Xenopus tropicalis: one gene and its partners. The main gene of each other region encodes a partner of the protein of the gene in region 3 in a complex. Links are inferred from orthologs where the notes say so. Each region holds a gene or a part of one and is shown on either strand. Other genes may lie near its edges. The genes, in order: eed, aebp2, ezh2 and jarid2.

Region 1 (4,661 bases), on a different chromosome or scaffold from region 3:
TAGTAGGGTTTCTGTAGCAAACACCCCAGCTGTACCAGTGCAGGAATGGCTGCCCCCGGGGCTACACAGCGGGGTATTTATATAAACTATAGTAGGGTTTCTGTAGCAAACACCCCAGCTGTACCAGTGCAGGAATGGCTGCCCCCGGGGCTACACAGCGGGGTATTTATATAAACTATAGTAGGGTTTCTGTAGCAAACACCCCAGCTGTACCAGTGCAGGAATGGCTGCCCCCGGGGCTACACAGCGGGGTATTTATATAAACTATAGTAGGGTTTCTGTAGCAAACACCCCAGCTGTACCAGTGCAGGAATGGCTGCCCCCGGGGCTACATAGCGGGGTATTTATATAAACTATAGTAGGGTTTCTGTAGCAAACACCCCAGCTGTACCAGTGCAGGAATGGCTGCCCCCGGGGCTACACAGCGGGGTATTTATATAAACTATAGTAGGGTTTCTGTAGCAAACACCCCAGCTGTACCAGTGCAGGAACGGCTGCCCCCGGGGCTACACAGCAGGGTATTTATATAAACTATAGTAGGGTTTCTGTAGCAAACACCCCAGCTGTACCAGTGCAGGAATGGCTGCCCCCGGGGCTACACAGCAGGGTATTTATATAAACTATAGTAGGGTTTCTGTAGCAAACACCCCAGCTGTACCAGTGCAGGAATGGCTGCCCCCGGGGCTACACAGCAGGGTATTTATATAAACTATAGTAGGGTTTCTGTAGCAAACACCCCAGCTGTACCAGTGCAGGAACGGCTGCCCCCGGGGCTACACAGCAGGGTATTTATATAAACTATAGTAGGGTTTCTGTAGCAAACACCCCAGCTGTACCAGTGCAGGAATGGCTGCCCCCGGGGCTACACAGCAGGGTATTTATATAAACTATAGTAGGGTTTCTGTAGCAAACACCCCAGCTGTACCAGTGCAGGAACGGCTGCCCCCGGGGCTACACAGCGGGGTATTTATATAAACTATAGTAGGGTTTCTGTAGCAAACACCCCAGCTGTACCAGTGCAGGAATGGCTGCCCCCGGGGCTACACAGCGGGGTATTTATATAAGTATAGCAGCATTTCTGTAGCAAACACACCAGTTTTACCAGTACATTATATCTTAATTACTTTAAAACACTCATTTTTTTGGTGTTTTTTGGTACCCACGATAGACCTCTGCTACCAATCTCTCCAAACTGATCCAGCCGATTATCCTTTCCCAGTGGCACCAATCTCGCACTCACCTTGAGGCTATTTACACACTTGAAGGAGTATTTGCATTTCTTTGACTTCCATTTTCCTTTGCCCCAGCCCTTTCTGCCGGGGGCATTTGCTGCATTTGTCGGGGTGTCTGGGCGCTCTGTGTTTGTACCGCTCTCTATGCTGACAGTATCGTCCTAAATATTTCAAAGAAAAAAAAAAGCTCAGAATTATGGGACTGCCATTTCCATAGACTCCATTTGAATGAAATAATTTACATTTTTTAAAAATGATTTGCATTTTCTCTGTAATAATAAAACAGTACCTGTACTTGATCCCAACTAAGATATAATTACCCCTTATTGGGGGCAAAACAGCCCTATTGGGTTTATTTAATCTTTAAATGATTCCCTTTTCTCTGTAATAATAAAACAGTACCTGTACTTGATCCCAACTAAGATATAATTACCCCTTATTGGGGGCAGAACAGCCCTATTGGGTTTATTTCATGTTTACATCATTTTTAGCAACATTAAGTCTGGAGTAATGTAATGATTATATATGACTCTAGCATGCAGATAATTTGAACTGAAGAGATGTGGAGCAAAAGGTTAGTTTTAAAAATACAAATAAACCAGTAGCAAATTGTCTCAGAGGGCCTCTACAGCAACTTTGAAATTCGGATCACATGCCTCCAGCACTAGGGTTGAACTAATCAAAAGTTTATAAACCTGAGTGTATATCTGCTACATGGGAGGAAACCCAATAGGGCTGTTCTGCCCCCAATAAGGGGTAATTATATCTTAGTTGGGATCAAGTACAGGTACTGTTTTATTATTACAGAGAAAAGGGAATCATTTAACCATGAAATAAACCCAATAGGGCTGTTCTGCCCCCAATAAGGGGTAATTATATCTTAGTTGGGATCAAGTACAGGTACTGTTTTATTATTACAGAGAAAAGGGAATCATTTAACCATTAAATAAACCCAATAGGACTGTTCTGCCCCCAATAAGGGGTAATAATATCTTAGTTGGGATCAAGTACAGGTACTGTTTTATTATTACAGAGAAAAGGGAATCATTTAACCATTAAATAAACCCAATAGGGCTGTTCTGCCCCAATAAGGGGTAATTATATCTTAGTTGGGATCAAGTACAGGTACTGTTTTATTATTACAGAGAAAAGGGAATCATTTAACCATTAAATAAACCCAATAGGGCTGTTCTGCCCCCAATAAGGGGTAATTATATCTTAGTTGGGATCAAGTACAGGTACTGTTTTATTATTACAGAGAAAAGGGAATCATTTAACCATTAAATAAACCCAATAGGGCTGTTCTGCCCCAATAAGGGGTAATTATATCTTAGTTGGGATCAAGTACAGGTACTGTTTTATTATTACAGAGAAAAGGGAATCATTTAACCATTAAATAAACCCAATAGGGCTGTTCTGCCCCCAATAAGGGGTAATTATATCTTAGTTGGGATCAAGTACAGGTACTGTTTTATTATTACAGAGAAAAGGGAATCATTTAACCATGAAATAAACCCAATAGGGCTGTTCTGCCCCCAATAAGGGGTAATTATATCTTAGTTGGGATCAAGTACAGGTACTGTTTTATTATTACAGAGAAAAGGGAATCATTTAACCATTAAATAAACCCAATAGGACTGTTCTGCCCCCAATAAGGGGTAATAATATCTTAGTTGGGATCAAGTACAGGTACTGTTTTATTATTACAGAGAAAAGGGAATCATTTAACCATTAAATAAACCCAATAGGGCTGTTCTGCCCCAATAAGGGGTAATTATATCTTAGTTGGGATCAAGTACAGGTACTGTTTTATTATTACAGAGAAAAGGGAATCATTTAACCATTAAATAAACCCAATAGGGCTGTTCTGCCCCCAATAAGGGGTAATTATATCTTAGTTGGGATCAAGTACAGGTACTGTTTTATTATTACAGAGAAAAGGGAATCATTTAACCATTAAATAAACCCAATAGGGCTGTTCTGCCCCAATAAGGGGTAATTATATCTTAGTTGGGATCAAGTACAGGTACTGTTTTATTATTACAGAGAAATTGAATTATTTTATTAAAATGGAGTCTCAGGATGATTGCCTTCCTATAATTCAGAGCTTTCTGGATAATGGATCCCATACCTGTAACAAGTACAAAATCGTTGAGCCCCAGTCAGAATAAACCCCATGCTACAACCACTGAGCCATCCCACTGCCCAAGAAAGTGCTTTCATTAAAGTGAAGGCCTCTTAAAATTAAGTTTCATTTGAAACTTACGATACTCTATTCTACCACTCCCTGACTGACCCTAACAGACAGCATTTTAAAGTCCATGCTGGAATAAAGAAACCCTAGCATTATAAAATAAGTTTAAGTCTATTTCTATCTACAACATATGTAAATTCAGGGGAACTTCCACTTTAAAAATCTAGGTGCCCTATGGCCAGACCATAGACTGCTAACTGTATAGCATAAGCACATCATGAACTCTATATGCAGCAAGGTAATCAGTAATTCTATATAATTAGCTATTAGTGTGCCTGCTCAGTGTATAACATGCCTGGCTGTGCCTACTCATTAGCTGGCAGTAATTAGCGAGAGTACACACTAATGATTCTAGCACCCATCCCCCAGGCAGCCCCTACATCCTGTCCCACTGAGAGAGAGAAAGCTCACAGGCTCTGCACCTACAGCCTCACCCTTTGTCTCCATTTATTAGTTATCATCGTCATCATTCATTTATACATTTCCAACATACTCTGCAGCATTTAGATTTAGGGCAAACATGATAAAGGGCAAAACAATGTCTGCAGCTTTTGAGAAAGTGATGTGATACCACGAAACGCGTCAAGCGTATGGTCTTTTTCTGTATAAGCACAACATGCTTTTTTAAAAAAGATTGGATAAAGAAAGATTTTTATGAAAACAACAGTGTTGGCGTTGCTCCGTATAAAGTTTTGTTTTGCAGTTTACTTCGCCGTCTGGGTCTCGGCTGTACGTTGAGCACACACTGATGGTCCGGTAAGTGCTCCCGTGGTCTTTACAAAACATGATAAAGGGGAAAAAAACTAAAATGGTACTGGAGTACAAATAACAGTGCAGCTTGGCGATCCTTTACCCAGGAGTGCAATACAGGGTAACTGCTTAGGCTTTCTCACCCCTTCATGTCAAGAATTCATTAACCCCTAAAACACTAGCTGTACTATTCCAAGGCACGGCACATTAGTTACTAAACAATACCACATGACAATATTACATTACTATGAGCCAAGTGGCTCCCCGGCTTTCCCCCCACTGCAGTGACTTGTGTAACATCTCTGTACCCGCTGCTCCCCCTCTCCCTCTGCTTGCAGCCTTACACCTTTACCTCTGGCTCCCACAGCAACTCAGTCTGTATGTTCCCCATACCCATAAGCCTTTTCCCAACTCTTCCTCACTTG
Region 2 (5,436 bases), on a different chromosome or scaffold from region 3:
GTGCAAAGGAAGCAGAGACAGTCACACGGGTACCAGGAAATACACTTCCCCGTGCAAAGGAAGCAGAGACAGTCACACGGGTACCAGGAAATACACTCCCCCGTGCAAAGGAAGCAGAGACAGTCACACGGGTACCGGGAAATACACTCCCCCGTGCAAAGGAAGCAGAGACAGTCACACGGGTACCAGGAAATACACTCCCCCGTGCAAAGGAAGCAGAGACAGTCACACGGGTACCGGGAAATACACTCCCCCGTGCACAGGAAGCAGAGACAGTCACACAGGTACCGGGAAATACACTCCCCCGTGCAAAGGAAGTAGAGACAGTCACACGGGTACCGGGAAATACACTCCCCCGTGCACAGGAAGCAGAGACAGTCACACGGGTACCGGGAAATACACTCCCCCGTGCAAAGGAAGCAGAGACAGTCACATGGGTACCGGGAAATACACTCCCCCGTGCAAAGGAAGCAGAGACAGTCACATGGGTACCGGGAAATACACTCCCCGTGCAAAGGAAGCAGAGACAGTAAACACGGGTACCGGGAAATACACTCCCCCCGTGCAAAGGAAGCAGAGACAGTCACACGGGTACCGGGAAATACACTCCCCCCGTGCAAAGGAAGCAGAGACAGTCACACGGGTACCGGGAAATACACTCCCCCCGTGCAAAGGAAGCAGAGACAGTCACACGGGTACCGGGAAATACACTCCCCCGTGCAAAGGAAGCAGAGACAGTCACATGGGTACCGGGAAATACACTCCCCCGTGCAAAGGAAGCAGAGACAGTCACATGGGTACCGGGAAATACACTCCCCCGTGCAAAGGAAGCAGAGACAGTCACATGGGTACCGGGAAATACACTCCCCCGTGCAAAGGAAGCAGAGACAGTCACACGGGTACCGGGAAATACACTCCCCCGTGCACAGGAAGCAGAGACAGTCACACGGGTACCAGGAAATACACTCCCCCCGTGCAAAGGAAGCAGAGACAGTCACATGGGTACCAGGAAATACACTCCCCCGTGCAAAGGAAGCAGAGACAGTCACATGGGTACCGGGAAATACACTCCCCCGTGCAAAGGAAGCAGAGACAGTCACACGGGTACCAGGAAATACACTCCCCCGTGCAAAGGAAGCAGAGACAGTCACATGGGTACCAGGAAATACACTCCCCCGTGCAAAGGAAGCAGAGACAGTCACACGGGTACCAGGAAATACACTCCCCCGTGCAAAGGAAGCAGAGACAGTCACACGGGTACCAGGAAATACACTCCCCCGTGCAAAGGAAGCAGAGACAGTCACATGGGTACCAGGAAATACACTCCCCCGTGCAAAGGAAGCAGAGACAGTCACACGGGTACCAGGAAATACACTCCCCCGTGCAAAGGAAGCAGAGACAGTCACATGGGTACCGGGAAATACACTCCCCCGTGCAAAGGAAGTAGAGACAGTCACATGGGTACCAGGAAATACACTCCCCCATGCAAAGGAAGCAGAGACAGTCACATGGGTACCGGGAAATACACTCCCCCGTGCAAAGGAAGCAGAGAGAGTCACATGGGTACCGGGAAATACACTCCCCCGTGCAAAGGAAGCAGAGACAGTCACATGGGTACCAGGAAATACACTCCCCCGTGCAAAGGAAGCAGAGACAGTCACACGGGTACCGGGAAATACACTCCCCCGTGCAAAGGAAGCAGAGAGAGTCACATGGGTACCGGGAAATACACTCCCCCGTCTCTACTTCCCTTGCACAGGGGAATCTATTCCCTAGAACTGGTGTGAATATCTCCACTTCCTGTCTGGTAGAGAAACGGCAGCCCAGGTTTGCTTTATGGCAGGTCAGAGCTTTGTTCTTAAACGGAAACAATCAGTTACCCTTTATGGAATAGGATGAATTACAGCACTGCTGGGAGAGGAGGCCAGAGCCTGATTGAGAAAGGAGAGCGGAGCAGTGTATGGAATGTAAGTCCCCACTAGGGGGCAGTATGGGAAGATATAACAGTAGGAGGAGCCTAAGAGCCTCTCGTCCAATAACTAGAAGCCTTTCCTCTCCCGGCCCAGTAAGAGTTCCGCTTCTCACTCCGCTTTGGCCCTCTACGGGCGCCGTAACGCATGCTGCCGCAGTCTCCGCCCCAAGCCCCGCCCCGCCGCTAAGGGAAGCTCCGAGCTTAGTGACAAGATGGCCGCCGCCTCCTCTTGCTCCGAGCCCTCCGCGCCCCCCGCCGGCTCCTCCAGCCCCCCTCCCGCCCAGCCTGCCGTGCCCCCGCCCGGGGAAGAGGAGGACGAGGCGGACGATGAGAGCAGCAGGAGCTCCGGGTCGGAGCGTCCCGACAGCCCAGCGGGACAGGAGAGTCAGGGCCCCGGGGGGGGAACCGGCAGCTCCGGAGCGGGGAGCCTGGCTGTGTCCGAGGGGGAACCGCTCAGCCGCATGGACTCGGAGGACAGGTCAGTGCCCCAGGGGCAATTGGATTGGGGCAGGTACTTGGGGGCAATTGTGGTGGCAGCAGGGAGAATGGGGGCGGGGTTAGTAGGGTAGGGGGCGGGGTTAGTAGGGTAGGCTGGGCTCTGGGGGCAGATACAGTTGGGTCATTGGACTGAGGGGGAATAGAAATGAGGGGCAGTTACATTATGGGAGGGGTAGTTAGAGGGCAGGATGGGGCAGTATTCATTACCTGGGTAGGAATAGATAACATGGAGCTGGGGCAGTTACATTATGGGAGGGGTAGTTAGAGGGCAGGATGGGGCAGTATTCATTACCTGGGTAGGAATAGATAACATGGAGCTGGGGCAGTTACACAGGGGGGGGTTAGTACTGAGGCACTATATGTTCTGCCCCTAGGGGGCTGCACTCACATTCCCTGGGGTTGGATAGGGCAGGGGAGGATGATGGGAAGTGTAGTCCTGTCACATGTCACGGTGGGGGCGGGGCAGTAAGTGGGGCAGGTTGTACTTGAGCAAATGAGAATCCGATCTATTGAGCCCTCTGTTTCCACCTCTGGGGCACTTACCAGATCTGCCCCCCCCAGTGTTAGCGATTGGTCGGTACCCCACTGGCCCTTTGGCCCTCACAGTGACCGGGGCCCCGCTGGTTCCTTCTGTCCCCTCAGTCTTATGGGGAAAGGTTCAGTCCTTGCCTTGTCCAGCCGCCCGGAACTACCCCACCCGGGGGGATATATCACTCTCTGTAGCAACAGCCCCTGTGAGTAAGTAGTGCACTCATGTATAGGGGCAACATTCATTAGCAATTGCCTCATTAGCCTGAGGGGCAATTGTACTCTATGTGCCCCTCTCACCTCTGTCTGCCCCGACTGTCAGGGTCCCCAATTCTCTGTACTTCCTGCTCCTGGGCTGCTCTCTTTCCCATGGTCAGGCAGGAACCTCCCCCTGGGTAAGTGAATCCAATCTCCCCCCAGTACTTACCCAGGTACAGAGCTCTGATTCTCTGTACTTCCTGCTCCTGGGCTGCTCTCTTTCCCATGGTCAGGCAGGAACCTCCCCCTGGGTAAGTGAATCCAATCTCCCCCCAGTACTTACCCAGGTACAGAGCTCTGATTCTCTGTACTTCCTGCTCCTGGGCTGCTCTCTTTCCCATGGTCAGGCAGGAACCTCCCCCTGGGTAAGTGAATCCTGTTGGGGGGCAGTATAGCCCAGTAACCCCTGCTTGTTGCCCCACAGTATCAGCAGTACCCTGATGGATGTGGACAGTGTGGTCTCCAGTGGGCGCTCGACTCCCGCCATGATGAACGGCCAAAGCATGATCAGCACGTCGGCCAATAAGAGCCTCTCTTACAGCTGCTGCTGGGACCAATGTCAGACCACCTTCTCCTGCAGCCCCGACCTGGCCGACCACATTCGCTCTTTCCACGTGGATGGGCAGCACGGGGGGGTGAGTGCTCATTGGTTCTCTGCAACGTGGGGCGGGGCATTCCCTCTCTGTATATTTGTATTTATACATATGGGTAGGGGGTGCCATAGTGTTTCCCTTAGACAGTACAGTATGGGGGTACAGCTTATTGTGTGCCCAGAGCATTCCTTCTCTGTATATTTGTATTTATACATATGGGTAGGGGGTGCCATAGTGTTTCCCTTAGACAGTACAGTATGGGGGTGGGGCTTATTGTGTGCCCAGAACATTCCCTCTCTGTATATTTGTATTTATACATATGGGTAGGGGGTGCCATAGTGTTTCCCTTAGACAGTACAGTATGGGGGTACAGCTTATTGTGTGCCCAGAACATTCCCTCTCTGTATATTTGTATTTATACATATGGGTAGGGGGTGCCATAGTGTTTCCCTTAGACAGTACAGTATGGGGGTGGGGCTTATTGTGTGCCCAGAACATTCCCTCTCTGTATATTTGTATTTATACATATGGGTAGGGGGTGCCATAGTGTTTCCCTTAGACAGTACAGTATGGGGGTACAGCTTATTGTGTGCCCAGAACATTCCCTCTCTGTATATTTGTATTTATACATATGGGTAGGTGGTGCCATAGTGTTTCCCTTAGACAGTACAGTATGGGGGTACAGCTTATTGTGTGCCCAGAACATTCCCTCTCTGTATATTTGTATTTATACATATGGGTAGGGGTGCCATAGTGTTTTCCCTTAGACAGTACAGTATGGGGGTACAGCTTATTGTGTGCCCAGAACATTCCTTCTCTGTATATTTGTATTTATACATATGGGTAGGGGGTGCCATAGTGTTTCCCTTAGACAGTACAGTATGGGGGTACAGCTTATTGTGTGCCCAGAACATTCCCTCTCTGTATATTTGTATTTATACATATGGGTAGGGGGTGCCATAGTGTTTCCCTTAGACAGTACAGTATGGGGGTACAGCTTATTGTGTGCCCAGAGCATTCCCTCTCTGTATATTTGTATTTATACATATGGGTAGGGGGTGCCATAGTGTTTCCCTTAGACAGTACAGTATGGGGGTACAGCTTATTGTGTGCCCAGAACATTCCTTCCCTGTATATTTGTATTTATACATATGGGTAGGGGGTGCCATAGTGTTTCCCTTAGACAGTACAGTATGGGGGTACAGCTTATTGTGTGCCCAGAACATTCCTTCTCTGTATATTTGTATTTATACATATGGGTAGGGGGTGCCATAGTGTTTCCCTTAGACAGTACAGTATGGGGGTACAGCTTATTGTGTGCCCAGAACATTCCTTCTCTGTATATTTGTATTTATACATATGGGAGGGAGGTGCCATAGTGTTTCCCTTAGACAGTACAGTATGGGGGTACAGCTTATTGTGTGCCCAGAACATTCCCTCTCTGTATATTTGTATTTATACATATGGGTAGGAGGTGCCATAGTGTTTCCCTTAGACAGTACAGTATGGGGGTACAGCTTATTGTGTGCCCAGAACATTCCCTCTCTGTATATTTGTATTTATACATATGGGTAGGGGGTGCCATAG
Region 3 (4,661 bases):
CCCTTGAACTTTTCCACATTTTGTCACATTACAGCCACAAACATGAATCAATTTTATTGGAATTCCACGTGAAAGACCAATACAAAGTGGTGTACATGTGAGAAGTGGAACGAAAATCATACATGATTCCAAACATTTTTTACAAATAAATAACTGCAAAGTGGGGTGTGTGTAGTTATTCAGCCCCCTTTGGTCTGAGTGCAGTCAGTTGCCCATAGACATTGCCTGATGAGTGCTAATGACTAAATAGAGTGCACCTGTGTGTAATCTAATGTCAGTACAAATACAGCTGCTCTGTAACGGCCTCAGAGGTTGTCTAAGAGAATATTGGGAGCAACAACACCATGAAGTCCAAAGAACACACCAGACAGGTCAGGGATAAAGTTATTGAGAAATTTAAAGCAGGCTTAGGCTACAAAAAGATTTCCAAAGCCTTGAACATCCCACGGAGCACTGTTCAAGCGATCATTCAGAAATGGAAGGAGTATGGCACAACTGTAAACCTACCAAGACAAGGCCGTCCACCTAAACTCACAGGCCGAACAAGGAGAGCGCTGATCAGAAATGCAGCCAAGAGGCCCATGGTGACTCTGGACGAGCTGCAGAGATCTACAGCTCAGGTGGGGGAATCTGTCCATAGGACAACTATTAGTCGTGCACTGCACAAAGTTGGCCTTTATGGAAGAGTGGCAAGAAGAAAGCCATTGTTAACAGAAAACCATAAGAAGTCCCGTTTGCAGTTTGCCACAAGCCATGTGGGGGACACAGCAAACATGTGGAAGAAGGTGCTCTGGTCAGATGAGACCAAAATGGAACTTTTTGGCCAAAATGCAAAACACTATGTGTGGCGGAAAACTAACACTGCACATCACTCTGAACACACCATCCCCACTGTCAAATATGGTGGTGGCAGCATCATGCTCTGGGGGGGCTTCTCTTCAGCAGGGACAGGGAAGCTGGTCAGAGTTGATGGGAAGATGGATGGAGCCAAATACAGGGCAATCCTGGAAGAAAACCTCTTGGAGTCTGCAAAAGACTTGAGACTGGGGCGGAGGTTCACCTTCCAGCAGGACAACGACCCTAAACATAAAGCCAGGGCAACAATGGAATGGTTTAAAACAAAACATATCCATGTGTTAGAATGGCCCAGTCAAAGTCCAGATCTAAATCCAATCGAAAATCTGTGGCAAGTTCTGAAAACTGCTGTTCACAAACGCTGTCCATCTAATCTGACTGAGCTGGAGCTGTTTTGCAAAGAAGAATGGGTAAGGATTTCAGTCTCTAGATGTGCAAAGCTGGTAGAGACATACCCTAAAGACTGGCAGCTGTAATTGCAGCAAAAGGTGGTTCTACAAAGTATTGACTCAGAGGGCTGAATAATTACGCACACCCCACTTTGCAGTTATTTATTTGTAAAAAATGTTTGGAATCATGTATGATTTTCGTTCCACTTCTCACGTGTACATCACTCTGTATTGGTCTTTCACGTGGAATTCCAATAAAATTGATTCATGTTTGTGGCTGTTATGTGACAAAATGTGGAAAAGTTCAAGGGGGCCGAATACTTTTGCAAGCCACTGTATGTGTTTTTGGTTTTGGTTGTGATTGTGAAACCATATGCTGTCAAATTTGTATTGAAGGAAGGAGCACGGGAGTTTGCTGCAGCTTTGACAGCAGAACGAATAAAGACACCACCAAAGCGCCCTAGTGGTCGCCGAAGAGGTAGACTTCCCAACAACACCAGCAGACCAAGCACACCAACTGTAAATGTGTTAGAAGCCAAGGACACTGATAGTGACAGAGAAGCCGGCACTGAAACTGGAGGGGAAAGCAATGATAAGGAGGAAGAAGAGAAAAAAGATGAGACCTCAAGCTCCTCTGGTATGTATGTTCAACGGATATCCATTAGGTTTGTACTCTGGCTAAAAAATAGACAGATGTACAGCATTTTATAATAATACATGTAAATAATATGTAAGCAGATGGCAAACTCCCATGCACTGAGGCATCTGACATTGCCAGTGTTTTTTTTTTTTTAAAGATGGATGAACTGCAGTTTAAAGGACACCATTTTCATTTTCAAAGTTTGCACTACTGCATGTGTTGCTTTTTAGTAGTCTGGAGGTACAAATGAAATTCCAGCAAGCAAAAGTCTTGAAAGCACTGAGGCTAGTGTCACATGTTGTGTTAGAAAACTTGATCCACTGCCTTGCACAAGATCTTTAGAATGCACTGACAAGCACAGCATCTGCCTGCAATTGCATACAGAGGGATGAGTTCTGCACGAAAATGCGCCCATTCTCCATTTTCCCAAATCCACCATGTGTACTGTAGAAGTCCAGTGTGTTGCATTTTCACCAGCAGAAAAACCCGGTGGGTGGGAATAAATCAGGCATAAGCTATTAATCTCTCATTCTATCAATATCAATAGGACACTAAGACATTCTTTGCATTAAGCTACCAAGCTATGCCCTCCCCTTTAAGCCAAACAGGGATTGTTTGTCCATATATTGCAATATATTCAAGCTGGCCAACTACGTCAGTCATCCCCAGTCTGGCCAGTCCTACATTCACTTTCATCTGATTCATTAAGAATTTTAGTGCTTCAATATACATTTAACAAAGGGACAAAGTTTTACCTGCAACTTACTTGCTTTCAAGGTTAAAACCCCGAATGGTCCACATGGTTGGACATGAAAGAATGCTATCAAGAATCCATCTAAATATTTCAGATTTACATACTTCTATGTAAGAAACATATTTTTTGGGTCTGGTAAACAGTTGATATTCCAAAGCAGATGCTACATGCATGCTCAAAGGACGTATGTATAGCTGTGAGTGAGGAGTTCCATTCAGTGCCTCCCTTACCTGCTCTTGTTCTATTGTATACCTCTCAACAGAAGCAAACTCTCGGTGCCAGACACCAATAAAAATGAAGCCAAATATCGAGCCACCTGAAAATGTGGAATGGAGTGGTGCAGAGGCCTCCCTATTTAGAGTGCTAATTGGAACCTATTATGACAACTTCTGTGCAATTGCAAGGTTGATTGGTACCAAGACATGCCGGCAAGTAAGTTATTAGTAGCTCTTATTCATTCTACAATGATTTTTTAGTACAATATGTTACACTTTTGACTAAACTTTAGGATTATTATTATTATTATTAACATTTATTTATAAAGCGCCAACATATTCCGCAGCGCTGTAAGTGGGTTTCATACATTGGACATACAGAGTAACATATAAAGCAATCAATAACCAATACAAGAGGTGAAGAGAGCCCTGCCCAAAAGAGCTTACAATCTACAAGGATCAGTCTGTAATCGTCTTATAAGAAAACTGCATGCAGCTGTTGTGTTCCTTAAAATATCATATGCACCGATGGCTGATTTTCATGTGGTATTTGAAAGTCTGCTGTATTATCCAAAGCTAACAAGTTATTCATTACTCTATTAATATCTTCTGCAGGTCTATGAGTTTAGAGTAAAGGAATCCAGTATTATTGCTCCTGTTATTGCTGAGGATGTCGACACTCCTCCGAGAAAGAAAAAGAGGAAACACAGGTATGACTTACACTTCATCACATTTTCTTTGTCTGTTGTTGAGAAATGAACAACAGTTTCATAATATAGCTGTGTTAAACCACTCTAATGAAGATAGCCTAGACTATATACCAGATCTTGGGTTATTCCTGATAATAGCTCTTGTTATTTGCTCATTATGAATAATACCTTGCATGAATCATTGTGCTTCTCTGCCTAGAAGATGTATTTGAGCTAACTCTCAAAATAACTCTTCAAAATAACTAACTTCAATACAAATCCTGTCTCTCTAAATACAAGGATTTGTATTTGTGCCAGTGTCAGTTATTTTAAGAGTGAGTTCAAATAAAATCTTCATTGCATAGCAACACCCCCTTCTGCCCAGTCTTACTTTGTTTTGGCTGCTGCCATCCCTGGAGCTGCAGCTTGGTTGGGCAGTGCAAGAGGCCCCTACACACATGCGTTGCGGACCAGAAGGCCTCTGCCATACCTACTAGCAAATATAACTGCGCAGTCTGGTACAAGATTAGCAATATTCAAGCAGTTGCAGGGGTATGGAAGTCAAAATAAAATAAGTGACTGGGGTCAAGGGAGCCTGCTCTGCATAACCTAATGATCTTCATTACCAGTGAAATACATTGTTGTATAGAACTGATCATTTTTTTTATTTTCTACATGATTTCTTCTCTTATTTTGTATCTAATTGTATCCTAACAGACTTTGGGCAGCGCACTGCAGGAAAATACAGCTGAAAAAAGGTTTGACATTTATTTAGCTTTCATTTTCTGTTTTTCCCCAGTTACTCAAAGTTCAAAAACAACCCAGTCCTAATGGCAGTATGTGCTCCTGTACAGAGGTTCACACTGCTGCAGTAGTGGTAGTTCTAATGAAACAATAACATATAAAATATCCACATATGTGTTGTAGTAGGAAAAAGATATGTCAAATTGTTTAATACCTAGATCGGTACCTATTAACATCTCTTAGTTTTCTGTTGTACTAAACTTTTCTGATGTCATACACATATATATATATATATATATATATATATATATACACACACACAGTCCACAAAATTTTCAGCACACCAAACCCGTAATATAAATCACCTGGGTGCTA
Region 4 (4,661 bases), about 37 Mb from region 3:
ACGAGTGATGCTTGAATGCCTAGTAGGCATACCGCCACAAAGAAACAGAGAGAGATCAGTTTGTCAAGTTATTAAAACATTTGTGTCTTCTTCCAGGAACTTCACAAATGTACTTAGGGTTGTCACAAGTGGGTGTTAAGCCAGGGAATAAATCCCTGGTTCTTACTTTTGAAAAACCATTTTGAAGATATTGGTTTCCACTCTTTATATCTTCAGAAGTGTTTTTATCATTCCCTAAATCAAGTTCCCTGCATGACCTCCTTTCCATGTTCTTTTTGATTATTTCTTCAGGGAAATGTTTAGTTGCATATTAGTAAATTAAATAATATTTCAATTCACTAAGTGAGCTATTACTTGTGACAACCCTGAAAGGTACTCAATACATACATAAAAGTACATATGCATGTTGGTGTCAGCAAGAGACATTTCACCGTCAATACCTAGAATGTGTTTTACTTTTAAAACAGCAGTATTAGATAATCATAATTCAACCTCAAATCTCTAAATTGTAAGGACTGGATTGCTTATGGTAAGGGTCTGATCTTGGAAATACAGTGAAGTTAACAGGGCAGTGAATTAGTGAATTAAAAGAAAAACTTTACTGCTGCTTAAATTATATTTCAACATAGTTGAAATAATTACTGAACAACACAATCACATAAAACACACCATGTTGGGCAAATCCAACATTTAGTGAGATAAGTTCCGAGAGCTTTAGTGATGCGTGTTTGTGTCTGCTGACACACAATTGTATTCTTTGTTCATCGTACAGTATTAAATGACGTAACCTTTGTGTTACATTGTACATTTGTGGATGAATTGTTATGTTGGCCATTTATCACAAACAACAAACTTAAGTTGAAAAAAACAGAAGGAAAGTGAGATCAGCACAACAAACTTCAGCTTGGAGGGACATTTTTGGAAGAGGTGAAAAAGAAAGAGTTGTTCTTTAATTTAAAAAAATGATGATGCAAAGAAACTATTGTCCAGTCATCACACTCTGTGCCCTGGGTATAGGGTGCCTACAAAAAAAAATACGACAAACACTTTTTCAGTCCCCCAAAAATACAGCTGATATCAGAGTTCAAGCTTCTGCAGCATTCTCAGATGGCTACGTATCAATAAAAGTTTAATAGCGCATGTCTCACATTCCCTCAAGCACTGAATATGGTTGAAAAATTTGTGTTTTTCTTCTCTCTCTTTTTAAAGTGTCAACCTTCTAACATGTTGGCATCATTCAGCTACATTGGTTTTTGCTATTTTGGTATATTTCTAACAATGCAAACAGTATCCAATTATTGCTGCCCAAACACTTAACAGTCATTATTTGCAATAAAATAATACATATGATGAAATGTCATTACAATTCATCTGAGGGTAAAACGGAGTGTTTTTTTACATTTCTAATAAACAAAATATAACAGTTTAAATGGACCCTTTAAGCAGCATCTGCCAAAAAATATCAAAAAATCAAATTAGAGCTCTTTAAGAAAAATAACAACACATGCATGTCCATCAGAGTGATTCCCTTACCTATGAGCGGGAGTTCATCCAAGGTGATGCCCTGAGATTTGAGGTGCTTCTTAATGCAGGCCAGGCGCTGTACATTTGGACCCCAACGTCGCCCAAGCTTGTGGATGTGTTGAATCTGTGTAACGAATCGCATCTCATCATTCAGCTTGCACTCTGGTCTCCAGTCGGCAGGTGGGATCACGGTGCACATCCCATACTTCTCCACTCGGGCTCGGATGGATTCAATATAAATCAAGGGGTCATGAAACTCCTTGGCAGAGGGTCGGAGGACAGGGATCTCACACATGGCTGTGCACCTGGCCCTCCCAGAATTTTTCTCTGTCTTTGCAGAGTCCAGAGATTTTTGTGGGGAATCAGTGTGCGAGGTAGAGCGATTTTCACAACCAGTATCTTCTGCCTTACCACGGGGTTGTGGAACTGGTGAGCTCCTGGCTGCTGAGGCCCGCTTCGGCCTATTTCTTTCCAGCATCTTCTCTGGCACTTCTTTTTTTAAGTGTCCATTCAGCACCTGTTTCTCCGCTGCTAGCCTTTTGCTTCTGACCTCTGGCAAGCAGGCGGATACTTTAATTTTCTTTAGCAAAGGCTGTGCCTTAGCAGGAAGGCTTGCCTCCTCCAGGCGCCTTTTTGAGTTACGTAGTCCCTCCCTTAGTTGCCTCCCTTCCTCCCTACTGCATGTTTTTTTGTTAAGTTTGCCATTCACCTTTACACAGTTAAGAACAGCGGCACAGTTGGGCTTAGATGTAGAAAGAGATAGCACCTGTTTACGAGTTTTTGCATTGCTGCTTTCTGTGGTCCCTGAGATTGTGTGGTGAACAGATGAACTGGGTTTGTTGTGATTCTGTTTGGTTGCCTTATCCAGTTCTTTCTTGGCTTTGGTGTATGTGACAGTCCCCTTAGTCACCGTTGCGGTATACTTCACAGTTTTAGAGGGTGTAGGTCTCACTTCTCTTGTCTTTTTGGCACCGACTGCGTTAGAACCCAATGATGATAATCGGGTTATTCCATTCACCTTGGAAACCTGGGTTTAATTGGTAATAAAAAAAAAAGTTGTCAGTGTGCAGCTCCCCTTAAAACAAATCTAGAATATGATTTAAAAGCAAATTCTAGCTATATTATTGTGGCTGTCGTGCAAATTACAAATAATTAGATTCAATTAATAACATCTTGCAGTATTATACTAATGATGCATATTCATTTAGCAAACAGGCTAGTCTGAATTCCCAGATGAAGCACAGAAGTGATAAGTCTGTACACTTACACAAAATAATTTACTGTGAAATATTCAAAAACAAATCTTTACCATAACAGACCCAAAGACATATGAATTGTTATACTTGCTATAACTTTGTAATCTGCTTTAGCAAAGAACAGCAAGAAGTGATAAGGTCAAGATAAATCTTGCCCCCTTTTGAAAGCAACACATGGCAGATTACATATTTAGATATAAATACATATAGACACACATATACTGTTTGTTTATATTATTTACGCAATGTATATAAATGTATACTGACAAAATTTTAATAATTGTGGTTATGCCATCCCTTTATCTATTATGGGCGGCAAATTCAAAACTGTAAAAATGTGCATTTGTTTAGGATAGGACTGCTGTTATGTGATACATTTTTTTTACTGCAAAACATGTTAACACACAGACCTATGGATACTATTGGATATTGGCAGCATTTATTCCAATATATATATATATATATACATATATACACATACACATACACACACACACACACACATACATACATAAATTGGTTTTAAGCAGTAAAATAAATTACATTTTTAAACTAAAGGAAGAATTGGACTCCTAATATCAAAACAGCCCAGATAGTTAAGATTGTTGCTTAAAAAATTATTTTATTGCTCACCAAAGATCTGACACTTATTATTAATGCAGAGTGGGCTGCAATATGTCAGGGAGGAGAGACTTCCTGTGTTGCACAGGTTGTGTTCTTTGACAGAAAGAGAAACCTTGCGGTCAAAGTTGAGTACACATCTCAACCTGTGCAACAGAGCAAGTCTTTCTGGACACAAAAAGTCCACTCTGGGCTGTTCTTTTTTCATTGTGAATAATACTTTGACAAGTTACTTAACCATAACCAATTTCTACAGGGGGATGTAATAAAAACAGACACCAAGTCTTGCATTTGTTGGCATACTTGGTGACAATACACCCCCTGTGCCCTTGCCCTAAAGGTGTTAGTAATCATTTAAGAGTAAAACTAGCACCATTTATTACAAATTATTGCCTATGGGATTGGCAGATTTTCAGTTATCCTATATGTCTCCTTTAAACCTTAATCCTGTACATGGCAAACTGCAGAACTGAAGCACATCCATACATAAAAGGAATTCTGTCATGATATATATATGGTTTATTTGCTATTTGCAACTAATTCAGTGTACCATTTTAAATGTTATTAAAATGCTATTCTTGAACCAACAAATTAATTTTTTTTAATATAGTATTTTGGTGTGTATTTTTTATATTAATAGTAGGCGCCATCTCAGTGCATTATGTCTGAGCTTTCAGAAGGAGCCAACCCATCACAGTGCAACAACTTTCAGATAAGCTATTACCTCTTTTATTGTCAATGTAACTGGAGATGTAATGCCCAGACTTGGGTGTTTTACTTTGAGTGCTTTTCTCATATCTACCACTAGGCGAGGCATGGGAGCATTTTTAGCAATGCAGGCGTCAGGGAGCGGTTATCTGATTACCATTCCATTGTTGTTCTGATTGGCTGCTGGGGGGGGGGGAGGGAGGGGGATGATATCACTTCAACTTGCAGCGCAGCAGTAAAGAGAGACCAAAGTTTATCAGAGAACAAGTCACATGGCTGAGGGTCCTGCGGAAACTAAGAATATGGCTAGCCCCATATGAAATTTCAAAATTAAACATAGAAAATCTGTTTGCTCTTTTGAAAAATGAATTTCAATGCAGAATTCTGCTGGAGGAGCACTATTAACTGATTTTGTAATAAACATGTTTTCCTGTGATGCAATCCCTTTAATATTCTTCAAATCTAGACCCAAACAATATTCCAGCCCACTTATAGAGAGGCATCTGTCTTGCTGATTCTCTCCAGCATCATCCCAGGAATTAGTAAAATTCA

What was found.
Region 1: the proteins of ezh2 (region 3) and eed are in contact, whole or in part, in a cryo-EM structure (PDB 8VMI), measured with the Homo sapiens proteins. The link is inferred for Xenopus tropicalis from reciprocal best matches to the Homo sapiens genes EZH2 and EED. Residues at the interface, in NP_001190176.1 of Homo sapiens: Arg34, Glu37, Val38, Lys39, Met41, Phe42, Ser43, Asn45, Arg46, Ile49, Arg52, Thr53, Ile55, Leu56, Asn57, Glu59, Trp60, Lys61, Arg63, Arg64, Ile65, Gln66, Pro67, Val68, His69, Ile70, Leu71, Glu82, Cys83, Ser84; in NP_003788.2 of Homo sapiens: Val85, Asn86, Ser87, Leu88, Lys89, Glu90, Asp91, Trp103, His104, Ser105, Lys106, Glu107, Asp109, Pro110, Val112, Arg120, Thr122, Leu123, Tyr124, Glu125, Gln129, Gly130, Glu131, Ile132, Arg133, Leu134, Leu135, Gln136, Ser137, Tyr138.
Region 2: the proteins of ezh2 (region 3) and aebp2 are in contact, whole or in part, in a cryo-EM structure (PDB 8VMI), measured with the Homo sapiens proteins. The link is inferred for Xenopus tropicalis from reciprocal best matches to the Homo sapiens genes EZH2 and AEBP2. Residues at the interface, in NP_001190176.1 of Homo sapiens: Ser76, Leu77, Arg78, Gly79, Thr80, Thr100, Asn102, Ala103, Val104, Ala105, Ser619, Asp620, Val621, Ala622, Ile739, Glu742, Met743, Glu744, Ile745, Pro746; in NP_001107648.1 of Homo sapiens: Lys382, Leu383, Lys384, Asn385, Arg387, Arg388, Ser390, Leu391, Pro392, His395, Asp399, Ala400, Gln401, Asp404, Ala405, Arg407, His408, Ile411, Cys412, Leu415.
Region 4: the proteins of ezh2 (region 3) and jarid2 are in contact, whole or in part, in a cryo-EM structure (PDB 8VNZ), measured with the Homo sapiens proteins. The link is inferred for Xenopus tropicalis from reciprocal best matches to the Homo sapiens genes EZH2 and JARID2. Residues at the interface, in NP_001190176.1 of Homo sapiens: Arg78, Ile131, Pro132, Tyr133, Asp136, Ile146, Lys156, Val157, Asp160, Arg161; in NP_004964.2 of Homo sapiens: Arg108, Pro109, Arg110, Leu111, Ala113, Gln114, Arg115, Lys116, Thr154.

Annotation. Positions count from the first base shown.
Region 1 is NC_030678.2:168,819,812-168,824,472, forward strand, and holds part of eed (polycomb protein eed), read right to left. Parts: intron 1,394-4,661; coding exon 1,241-1,393; intron 1-1,240. UniProt on the Homo sapiens protein: Polycomb group (PcG) protein. Component of the PRC2/EED-EZH2 complex, which methylates 'Lys-9' and 'Lys-27' of histone H3, leading to transcriptional repression of the affected target gene.
Region 2 is NC_030679.2:754,670-760,105, forward strand, and holds the start of aebp2 (zinc finger protein AEBP2), read left to right. Parts: upstream 1-2,053; 5' UTR 2,054-2,184; coding exon 2,185-2,450; intron 2,451-3,680; coding exon 3,681-3,891; intron 3,892-5,436. UniProt on the Homo sapiens protein: Acts as an accessory subunit for the core Polycomb repressive complex 2 (PRC2), which mediates histone H3K27 (H3K27me3) trimethylation on chromatin leading to transcriptional repression of the affected target gene.
Region 3 is NC_030682.2:55,159,094-55,163,754, forward strand, and holds part of ezh2 (histone-lysine N-methyltransferase EZH2), read left to right. Parts: intron 1-1,640; coding exon 1,641-1,881; intron 1,882-2,900; coding exon 2,901-3,070; intron 3,071-3,468; coding exon 3,469-3,563; intron 3,564-4,259; coding exon 4,260-4,300; intron 4,301-4,661. UniProt on the Homo sapiens protein: Polycomb group (PcG) protein. Catalytic subunit of the PRC2/EED-EZH2 complex, which methylates 'Lys-9' (H3K9me) and 'Lys-27' (H3K27me) of histone H3, leading to transcriptional repression of the affected target gene.
Region 4 is NC_030682.2:92,469,093-92,473,753, reverse strand, and holds part of jarid2 (protein Jumonji), read right to left. Parts: intron 2,552-4,661; coding exon 1,534-2,551; intron 1-1,533.